3 linked regions of the Nothobranchius furzeri genome follow. The protein of the gene in region 3 purifies or fractionates together with the protein of the main gene of each other region. This does not show direct contact. Links are inferred from orthologs where the notes say so. Each region holds a gene or a part of one and is shown on either strand. Other genes may lie near its edges.

Evidence for each region.
Region 1: the proteins of mink1 (region 3) and strip1 purify together in Homo sapiens (affinity purification with mass spectrometry; 3 studies listed by BioGRID and IntAct, with this or other methods). This does not show direct contact. The link is inferred for Nothobranchius furzeri from reciprocal best matches to the Homo sapiens genes MINK1 and STRIP1.
Region 2: the proteins of mink1 (region 3) and strn4 purify together in Homo sapiens (affinity purification with mass spectrometry; 3 studies listed by BioGRID and IntAct, with this or other methods). This does not show direct contact. The link is inferred for Nothobranchius furzeri from reciprocal best matches to the Homo sapiens genes MINK1 and STRN4.

The regions. Positions count from the first base shown.
Region 1 is NC_091743.1:46,749,348-46,753,000, reverse strand, and holds part of strip1 (striatin-interacting protein 1 homolog), read right to left. Parts: intron 2,225-3,653; coding exon 2,159-2,224; intron 2,068-2,158; coding exon 2,004-2,067; intron 1,917-2,003; coding exon 1,845-1,916; intron 1,737-1,844; coding exon 1,662-1,736; intron 476-1,661; coding exon 378-475; intron 1-377. UniProt on the Homo sapiens protein: Plays a role in the regulation of cell morphology and cytoskeletal organization. Required in the cortical actin filament dynamics and cell shape. Part of the striatin-interacting phosphatase and kinase (STRIPAK) complexes.
Region 2 is NC_091753.1:40,954,722-40,958,374, forward strand, and holds part of strn4 (striatin-4), read right to left. Parts: intron 2,047-3,653; coding exon 1,943-2,046; intron 1,753-1,942; coding exon 1,676-1,752; intron 1,578-1,675; coding exon 1,499-1,577; intron 1,417-1,498; coding exon 1,231-1,416; intron 1-1,230. UniProt on the Homo sapiens protein: Calmodulin-binding scaffolding protein which is the center of the striatin-interacting phosphatase and kinase (STRIPAK) complexes.
Region 3 is NC_091750.1:48,005,399-48,009,051, reverse strand, and holds part of mink1 (misshapen-like kinase 1), read left to right. Parts: intron 1-1,019; coding exon 1,020-1,043; intron 1,044-1,427; coding exon 1,428-1,579; intron 1,580-1,646; coding exon 1,647-1,761; intron 1,762-3,005; coding exon 3,006-3,122; intron 3,123-3,336; coding exon 3,337-3,448; intron 3,449-3,653. UniProt on the Homo sapiens protein: Serine/threonine kinase which acts as a negative regulator of Ras-related Rap2-mediated signal transduction to control neuronal structure and AMPA receptor trafficking.

The sequences.
Region 1 (3,653 bases), on a different chromosome or scaffold from region 3:
TTAATTAAAAAAGCAATTTGAATAGTTATTAAACACTCAAAAGTATCGAAAATTGATATTGTTAAGTACCGGTATCGATTCGTAGGTACCGGGAATTGGTACCATATCGATTCAAATGTCAAAGGTACCCATCCCTACCTACACCTATCTCCTGCATTAGCTTCTGATGGAAAATAGACAATGAGACTCTAGGATTTGAAAATAATGCTGTCAGGTTGTGTTATGCTATTTTATTCCTGCACCTCCTGTTCCAACACCCCCACCCCAGCAAGGTGTTCAGATGTTTGATGGCATGAGGGACAAAGTAGTTTCTAAGACTGGTCTGGGTTTGATGAGAACAACCGTTTTAGACATTAGTCAGTAAATTTTCCACTCACGGCATCTCCTCTGGCAGCACGTCTGCTAGGATGTTAATGGAGTCCGTTTTGGCTTTAGATGTGGGAGCAGCAGCCAGAAGGATCTTCAGCAGTGCAATCTAACATTTAGATAACAGAAAACATCATCTAATCATCTATTTAAGCTCGTTTAACTTAATCACACACACACGCACACACACTTCTTTGTTTACATTCAACTTTTCTACATTTTATTTTGTAGTATTTTACCTTTATTTATTACTTGTTTCTTCTAAATATTTATTTCAAGAAAAGTGTGTTCATTTTTTTAAAAGTTCAAAAGAACAACCCCCCAGGGGGAAATGAAAAATGTAGACCAGACAAAAGCGCAGGTCTCAGGATCTTAAATGTCAAACTCAAGTCGAAATAAATCGTATGCGTTTCCTAACTAATCCTACAGAAAGTATTAAAGTGATGTCATTGCCTAATCTTATAATTGTAGCTGATGTTTGGACTGGCTGCATTTCAGGTTCCTTCATATAGCTAATATAATTACCGTATTTTCTGGACTATAAGTCGCACTTTTTTTCATAGTCTGGCTGGTCCTGCGACTTATATACCAAAGTGACTTATATACCAAATTATGTATACCGCGGGCCGGCTCCGGACCAGGAATGAGCTCCCTTGCCCGCCATCACCTGCTGGAGACCGTGGCACGCTGCTGCAGGCCGGCTCCGGTCCAGGTTTCAGCTCCTCTGCCCCGCTGGGAGGGTTTCAAACACCGCCATCACCTGCTGCAGCCTGTGGCGGGGTGCTGCAGGTGCTTTCCCCACCCGCTGGGAGAGTTTGAAACACCGCCATCCTCTGCTGGAGACCGTGGCGCGCTGCTGCGCCCTGGTTGTTTATTCTGTTATTGTTACTTGTACTTGTCTTAAATGTGAAATGCTTGGTCTCAGACTTTGTAAAAAATAAAAAATTTAAAAAAAATTCCCCCCAAAATGTGACTCATAGTACAGTGCGACTTATATATGTTTTTTTCTTCTTCATTATACATTTTGTGGCTGGTACGACTTATACTCCGGAAAATACGGTACTCATTTCAGGAGATTCTTAATCTATTCTAGTTCGACACAGGTTGTGTGTGATGAATAAGCCCAGGAGAGAGCCGAGAACAGCCATGTCTATAATGACGTAATAATTACTTCCAAACAAGAGTCAGTTTAAGCTGAGATCTACAGCTGGAGATCCTGAACAGTCACCATACAGTGAGGTTTTATTAGTGAACATTCACAGTAGCTGAAAGTAGACCCTGTCTGAAGAACCAACCATGTATTGAGGCAAACTGGGCAGGATTCCCTGATAGAGAAGCTCAGTGGAGCACATCTCCACTTCTTCTTCTCCCTGAAAAGAAAAACAGAAAGGACAAGAACTGTGACCCTTCAAGCCCTCTGCAGATTACTGTTCAGGCCGCAATCAGGGTAAATTATTAAAGATTTGCTTTCCACTCACAACAGAGAGGGGAGTTTTCTGGTATTCCTCCTCCTTTGCAATCTGGATTTCTGCTATGGAAATATACTTATGCTGGAAAACCAAAGGGAAAAATAATCATTTAGTAACAGGTGTGTTAGGCTGCCCTGCAGCAACAGCTCCACAAACCTGTCAGCTTACCTGCTTTAGTGTCTTGATGCTCTCGTGAATGGGTCTGGGCAACCCAACCACTGTGTCAGTATCACTGCAGGACACAAAAAGCAGCTTTACGCTCCCACATTATGACGTTAAACAAAGCTGTTCTCAAGTTTGGAGCTGCTTAAAATCAAACCCACCTGCCGAGAGTGTAACCGATGAATTTACTTCTACTTGACTCCAGAAAACTTTCTATATCTTTTTCTCTGTTTGAGAAATAACAGTAATATCAGAAACATCTCAAATCCTCTAAGTAAACAAAAACAACTTATCTAAATTAGAATTTCTGTTAATTAGCATAAAAAGTATAGTTTTAGTGGTTTTTATGTCATGTTTTCATTTCTTTTACTATGAGCCTTTTTATTGTAACTTATTCTCAGCATTTCAGCAAATTGCTGTTGGTTTTACTGTATTTGGCTTTTTAAGCACTTTGGTCAGCTTTCATGTTGTTGTAAAGTGCTATATAAATACAGTTGACTTGACCCCCCCAAAAAAAAAACTGAATCTGTAGTCATGAACTGTTAAATCTAGTGATGCACCGATATGAAATTTTGGGCCGATACCGAAATTAAGATCACCGTTATGGCCGATTACGTAGGGTTAAGTTATGTAAACCCCGGTTCTTTGAGAACAGAGTGAGGTGTTTCACTATGGGAATCACCCTGGCGTGACCAACTACGGAAGCTCCAATGACATCACGTCTGTCCCTGACAGACCGGTTGCGCCGTGCCCAGGCTCCGCCCACCCAGTATATACATGGCCAACCAATCCCTCCTACTCATACGGACGATTTCTTACCGATAATGCAAGAAGGGAATTGTTGGTGAAACACCTCACTCTGTTATCAAAGAACCGGGGTTTACATAACGTAACCCTACGTTCTTTTTCTAACTTCGTTCGGTGTTTCACTCTGGGAGATATGGCCCACTCCCGGATTGCATGTCCACCCCGAAGCGAGCTGCAGCAAAATTCAGCTTAACCACTAGGCAGATGCTGTGCATCCGGCCTCCAGCACTGAATGCGCCAGTGAAGGTTGAGACACATCCAGCCTGTAAAACTGCGCAAAAGTTAGCGGTGTGGCCCAGCTAACTGCTGCACAAATATCCTGGACTGACACCCCCCGAAACAGGGCCCAAGATGTGGCCATGCTCCTTGTAGAATGAGCCCTCACCCCCAGAGGGGGTTCAGCACCTTTGCACCTATATGAAAGGCTGATTGCTTCTACAATCCAGTGTGCCAGTCTCTGCCGAGACACAGGTTTGCCTTTATGGGCCGTGGCCCAAGAAACAAACAACTGGTCTGATTTTCTGAGACCAGCAGTCCGGTCCATATAAGCCCTTAAAGCTTGAACAGGGCGGAGACAATTAAGCTTCTGCTCTTCTGCTGAGGAAAAAGGAGGTGGGTGAAAAGCCAGCAGCTCCATAGGGGAGCAGCTATAAGACGACTGCATTACTTTAGGCACAAAAGCTGGATTGGGCTGCAGACACACCTTAGTGTAGCCAGGGGCCCACTGTAAACAAGAGGGACTGACTGACCATGACTGAAGTTCACTCACTCTCTTTGATGTAGTTAAAGCTAAGAGCAGTGCAGTTTTTAAAGAGAGAAATTTCAATCCAGCCCCATCTACAGGTTCAA
Region 2 (3,653 bases), on a different chromosome or scaffold from region 3:
TTCAGCATCTAATTTAGTTCCTGTACGTTAAACTGAGAGTTACTGATCATATTTAAAAAACGACAAATAAAAAATCGGTTTCTCAGGGAACTTGCTCTTTAAAATAAATTTATGTTTTATAATTGTAAACTTTGATTAATGAATTTAGAAAACACTTGAACATATTTCTGAATATAATTGGTCACTGTGAGCTTTCCATGCAGGCTGAACATGAAAATAGTCTCCTACTCCTGTCTCCTGCATTAGCTTCCGATAGAAAATAGACGGTGAAACTCTAGGATTAGAAAAACCTGACAGATCTACATCACACGGTCACTTAACAATCATGGACTCACCCATCTTGACTCATGACGGGGGAGGCTGTTGGTTTAACAGCCAGGAAACAGCAGAGGACATCTCAACTAGCAGACGCTAACCATTAGCATTAGCATCTCAAACACACAGCAGAACTTCTCCAGGCTTGTATTATTTGTAGAGATCAACATTGGAGGGCAAACAGTCAGTGGTAGAGTTGCTGTTATCCAATCCAGGGCGAGATGTCCAAATATCAGGAAATAAGACTCCAAATCCTGCCGTCTGAAGCTCAGCTGTGGGTAACTGAGGTCCTAGAAATGGTGCACCAGTATAATTGTTTCTTCAAAGTATGACTTACAAGCCATTCGCTCCTAGCAGAGACCACTGCGAATGTATTATTTAAACGAGTAATCCACCGCTGTAAAATAATTTTTAAGTATTGTCACTATTTTTGACATACTAAAACCACTTCTTTGTCCAATGTCTCAAATCTATGAATCTGATTACATTTAATGTTTCTCTAGTTTTTATAAACCTCTGGATTTTTTTTTTACTTTTTCTGATCTCAGTTTTGAGTTAAAAACCTTGCCTCCGTCTACTGAAGCCTGTTTTGTTGTTATTTTTACTGTGAACTACGCCCAGCAGCATTAGAGGAGAAACTAGACTTGTCAGATTCATCCTGTAACTGTTATTAGCCCTGACACCATCAGTAAATAGGTGACTCAGGTTTATTGGCAGCCAGTTCCATCCCTCCACTTGAACTGGGTTGGACTGGTTAAGTGTTTTGAAAAATTAGCCCTCCTCTCCTTTCTTCCGATTGTTTTTCCCCCAAATAATTTGAGTTTTGTGCAGCAAAATGTGGAAGCTGTTTGTGCCGTCACTGCAGCATGTACGTGAGGCGTAACGTCAAAGATAGCGTCTGTATTTACGCCTCACCTTTTGATTTGCTCCTCTATTTGCCGGACCAGCAAGGACTCTCCAGCTGCTCGTGGCTCTGGCTCCTGACAGCTGTCGCCGGGCGGAGGCCCGTTCGTCTCCGGGCTGCTCCGACCCAGCAGGGAGCGCACACGTTTGGAGCGCATGTCCAAGATGGTATCTGAGTAGCCGACCTCCTCCAGATATCTGCAACCACAGACGGAAAATCAATAATAAAACACAAGCATAATATAGCATCAGTGGATTTGAAATTATCAGGCAAACTCACTTGCGTAGTAACTGACGTCCCTCCTTCCAGGACATCTGATTGGCTGGCTCAGAGTCTGTCTCAGCTGGTCCATTGAGAACTACAGAAAACACGTTCAACAAGCCATGAGTAGGAAAAAAAACACGTTCGGCTCTAAAAGATGCAGCATTCGTAGACAAGAACAAGTGAAAAACATACGCTGCTCTGCCTCCATCTCTGGCTTCTTTTCTCCAGGACTCTGGTCATTTCCTGTCTTCAGTTTCTGGTGCTTTGCCCTGGAGACACAAAACAAATCCCATCGGGAAAATTACCCGACAACAAGCCAATCCAAGGCTTTATTTACTAAACACAGCACCTGGAGAATGTACACAACTGTTAGATGGGGCCAAAACAGCCGACATCAGCTTTGTCCTATACATGTCCTATTTTATCAGAGGCTGCAGGAATAATGTGATGAGAACAAACCTTTCCTGTTTGAGGGCATACTCCAGCATTTTGATCCGCCTCACCAGGTCCTGTTTCATGTTCTCCTGCCCTTTCCGTTCACTCTGTAGGAATGCCACCTGAGCCTGTATGTAACGCACACACACACACACACACACACACACACACACACACACACACACACGGTTATGAATACACTTAATCCTTATTTTAAAAAGGAAATTGTGCAGATCCTACCACATGGGCTCATATAGGCCAACTAAAACCCAATACTTTAGACAACATTTTCATTTTTTATCCCTTTTGTTGCAAACGCCACAAAGAAGTGAAGAGTGACCGTAAAGACTATGTAGGTATTTCTGATTTACTTCTCTACAAATGCCATGATAAAAATATTAGTTCTTCATTTGCCGTTACAAAGGTCAAACAGCTTATTAAAACGTCTAGCTTCACAGATTTCCACTGGGAATGTTCTTTTTTTGGAATCTGATCAGTGGGGATTCAAGTTTGGAAAGCGTCCCACTCATCTCTGCAACCTTTAAATTACTCCACAATTTCCTTTTTGGACTCAAGTCTGGACAGGATTTCTTGACTATATTTAATATAATTTGGATGTTTTATATTTTGATAATGACCTTGGTACATTCAAGTGTTCCTCTGCTTCAAAAGGCCTGATTCAAATGAAAATGAATGGATTGGGTAGCCATTATGGGCAGACCAATATATCGACCAGTCGATATATCGGTCTGATATTTACTGATTTTAATACAACAGCTGATATTTGTCCTTAGTAAAGCTGATTTAAAGTCAGGCACATCTTTGGACAACCCAGTGCTGTTGCAGCATTTAATTTAAATGTATTTTTATGCTCACTAGTAACATGTGCATGATGAATACTCTAAATTACCATTATTAACAATGAGCTGTGCACAACGTTAAGATTTAACAGCTGGTTAAATTCAGAGTTCAAAAAGCACATCGGCTGACCATGCCTCCAACATATCGGCATTGGTATCAGCAATAGAGAAACCGTATCGGTCGACCTGGTTCTGAGATGATTCCTCAAAATAAACATAAATTTAAATGTGACTTTTACACTTAAGGTTCCGGAGTTTTCCCTTTTCAGAAGTTATATATGATTTTTCAGAAATCCGTAAGTGATCGTCTTATCATGTACTGTGATGTAATGTAAGCAATACGTCTTTGTTGATAAGAACGCCCTCTGCCCCGCAGAGCTCCGTGAAATAGGAACCTGAGCGCCGACCAGAACTAACCAATAGCGTACTGCTTACGTGCTTCAAATTTAAGGAAGTACCTCGGCTGATGCAGAGTTGATGAACTTTTCACCAACAAGTGTTTAAGATATATGAAAGCACAACACGATATGAGTATAATACTTGTAATGCGTGTTTTAGCTCTGTTTGTCGGCTACAGAAGCACATTCAGAAACAAGAAACATGAAGTCGCCATCTTAAAAAAATGGATCGAGTGACTATTTGTGTGATATGCTTGTCAGCCACCAGATGGTGCCATCAGATAAGAGAAACACTACCGGAGAGATACTTTAATTGTTAAATAGAGATAAAAACAGTAGCTAAAAAGGATAAAAATATGGTTGACTAGAATTTTTGTTTTATGGCTCATTAGCAACGTTCCCCTGCATTAATCTGGGCCACGGATCTCATCAAATAATATCTGCTGGAACAAAAGCGGAAAAGTCTGGAAACCTGTG
Region 3 (3,653 bases):
TCACTTTTACTTAGACAAGCACATTAGTGCGTCTTAATCAAGCATTCAGTCTAAAGCCGCAGTAATGAATATATATTTAACAGCAGGGATTCTTTAATTACAGCCCTTTCTGCATCACGTTCCTCTTGTGCTTAAAGACCAAGGTTGCTGAGAAACTATTTTTTTAATCGTTAACTTTGAGCTATGATTGGCCACATGCAGGATGAACGTGAAAATAGTCTTCTACCTCTATTTTCTGCATTTACTCGTCAATTAGTAAATAAACAAGTAAAAGATTGAATTAGAAAAGCCAGCCAGCCAATTCCACATCACATATAAAATGTGCATTCATGGACTCACCCATGTTGGCTTGTAACGGGGAAGGCTGTGGTTGGTTGGTTGGTTGGTTGGTTTAGTGTCCAGGAAAGACTAGAGCCCATCTCAACTAGTAGAAACTTACCGTTAGCATTAGCAACTCCACCACGCAGCAGAACTCCTTCAGGCTTGAGTTATTTGTGGAGATAAAACATCAAAGTTGCAGAGCAAGCAGTCAGTGGTAGAGTCACATTGCTGTTAGCCAATCAGAGGCCAGATGTCTGAATATCAGGAAATGAGACCAAATTCTGCCATCTTCTGCTCACCTCTCATCTGGCTAACGTCTAGTTCCTGAAACAGGAGCACCAGAGCTTTTTTTACCCCACAGAGATCACACTCATTCATATAGAGACCACTGCAGATGGGTTGACAAAAATGAGTAAACTCTGCCTTTAACGAGCAGAAAAACAAAGTTGGGGTTTAACTCGCACTGATCATCACAAAGGCAGTGGCAGAGGAAGTAAACTTATGTAGAATAAATGTTTATTTTCCTATAGACGTACACATCACTGCACGCAGTAAGGCAATTGATAAGTGAATCTATTATTCATGTCTGTTATCAGTAGTTACATGCTGCCAGGCAGAAAAGGACTTTCTGTTTACACTTCAGACTCCATGACATCACTCCTCATGTTTTGTTTTTTGACTTTACCTCAAATGTGCAGAGTTACAAGAGAGCAATAGGGGAGGTTAGTATCTCTGTCGTCTTGTGTGATCCTGCATGGATTTGTATTGGTGTTCCTGGACTTCTACGTGTTTATGGAGAATCACATGCATGCTGTAAAGCCTTCATTCATTTGAGGCGTTGTTTTTCTTTTGAATTAAATAATATTCTGTTTATAATTTGTGCCATTTGACTATTTTAGTTATTTTTCCCAATATAAGGATGCCCTGAATTGTAAACCATTTGATTCCCAGTTGAGTACTTTCTCTGGATGGGACCTCACTCATGTTTTTGATAATCTAAATAGTAATTATGCATTTGTTAATGTTGTGCTCATTCTTTACATCTTTAATTGTTTAGAATGTTTTGAATGCATTCTCAAAGTAAACAAAGCTGTATGCGGGTGCAGGATCATGGCCTCTATGCCAAGGAGCGTGCCGAGGAGCCACCGAGGCCTCCTGTCAAGGCCAATGATTACTCCTCCTCTTCAGAGAGCAACGAAAGTAGCGAAGAAAGTGAGAGTGGCGAGGCAGCAGAGGAGGAGGAAAGCCCAACGGATCGGTAATGCTTGCACAAATAAACTTTTACAAATGAGGTAACGGAAAACTGAGTAGGCCTAAATGTTCAGTCACAGGGATGCAGACACCGATTCGGTCAACACCATGGTGGTTCATGAAGACGAAGGCGAGGCAGAGGGGGAGCAAGCAGGAGTTTATGGGGACCAGACCATGCTGGTGCAGCGGGTGAGTCACGCCAACTTCAGATCATGTTTAAGATGCTTTTTGATTTCTGCAGAGGAATCTGCATGGTGGCAAATATTGTAGAGCAGGGAGATGAATTCATTCAACTCATCATGTTAGACATTTATTTAGGAAGTATAACATCATTTTTACTGTTTTTGCAAACTTCTCAACAAACAGATCTAATTCCAAAAATGATTTAAAATCATTTTTATAGCAACTCTTTTTTTGATTCCAGTTTAACAGAATTAATAAAGGGCATAAACGCTTTTTATTTCTAAAGCCTCATTAATCTGCCTCCATAAAGTCGTCAGGCCTTACTTGTGCAGAAATACACAGAATTTAGAACAACACTAAAACAAAAAGGTCCCTTACTTTATTTTGTGGATTTGTTTTTATTCAGTTATTTAGTTTATATAAAAGATCAAACAGGAATAAACAATATATTTAAATGTTGACACAATGCAACTGTTTAAATTATTCACTTCATTCTGTGATCTGCTGGTTTCTTATTATTAGACCCTTAAATATTTGTAAAGGTTTTTAATGAAAGTTGCCTGAAGCTCCCCTCCAGCTAAATGCTGTTAGTTTGTCAGATAAAGCATCTCTGAGATATTTGGGGAGACGACCATGACAGCATGCATTTCTGGATGGCTCCTAATGAGTTGAATAGGAACAGTGTCTCCTTGACTGAGGGGTTTTGTGTGTGTGTGTGTGTGTGTGTGTGTGTGTGTGGGGGGGGGGGGGGGGGGGAGGTTTAAATAGTGAAATTACAGTTTTGGTATCCTAATTGATACAATGACACACACTGCAGGTTCATGCTAACAGTAGTAGGTCTTCACAGCCGTCTCTGACAGCTCTGAGGCTCAGCTGCAGCACAGGAGCAGTAGCTGTCCTATATTTATGTCACCATCTGGATTGGTCAGCCATCATCCTCACAGGACTTCATGCCCTCTGGAAAATTTGTTTTATTAAAATTACGGCAATTTGGAAAAGTTAGTTTGTCGACTCGCTTTTCTTCAGTTTTCACAAAATAAAAACAAGGATGTCTGAAGAACTTACTGACATTTGATTGAGTTGACAGCTAGAAGTCACTCAGTAAAGACTTCAACTCATTCATGTTTCCAGCCTGCAGAGACGATAAAGCAGCTGACCTGTTATAGAAAAGGCACAAGCTACGTTTAAAGGGATTACTGCTTCTTTACTGTCGTCACATAATACAAGTATCTGTCTATTTGACCTGAAAGACCCCGGAGAAGAGGAGCCATAATGGATACACTAACTTGCCAGATGTGGTGCAGCCTTCCCACTCTCCCACTGAATCAGCCACTCACTCCTCTCCTGGGAAAGACTCTGTTTATGATGTAAGTTGTCCTGATGCTAAGTTTGTCAGCCCTGGTTTTAGGGTTTATTTTTATTTCTTCTATGTATGCCATCATTTCTGCTAGACGCCATCATTTCAGTATGATACTGGCATCAGTAGCACATGTTGTTATGATTCTCTGATGTGAAAAGGTGAAAGTTTCCACAGAGTTTATGTAGACTTGTTTATCTCACCCACCCTTTCTGTTTCACCAGTATCAGTCCAGAGGTTTGGTGAAGGCATCTGGCAAGTCTTCCTTCACTACTTTTGTAGATCTAGGCATGTACCAGTCTCCGGGAGGAACAGGAGATAACATGTCAATCAGCAGTGAGTCGGAACATTTTTAAATGTGCTTAGAGTTGATTATTAGAGAACTTTCGTCTTCTTGTTTATTTGTCTTTTGCAGTCAAACATAAAGAAAACAACATGATTGTTTTGATGCTATTGTGGCGTTTTGGATGAAGTTGTTGATGCACATTAAACTACATTTAAAAACAAATCAAACTATGTTTTGACATTTTGGACAAGTTTG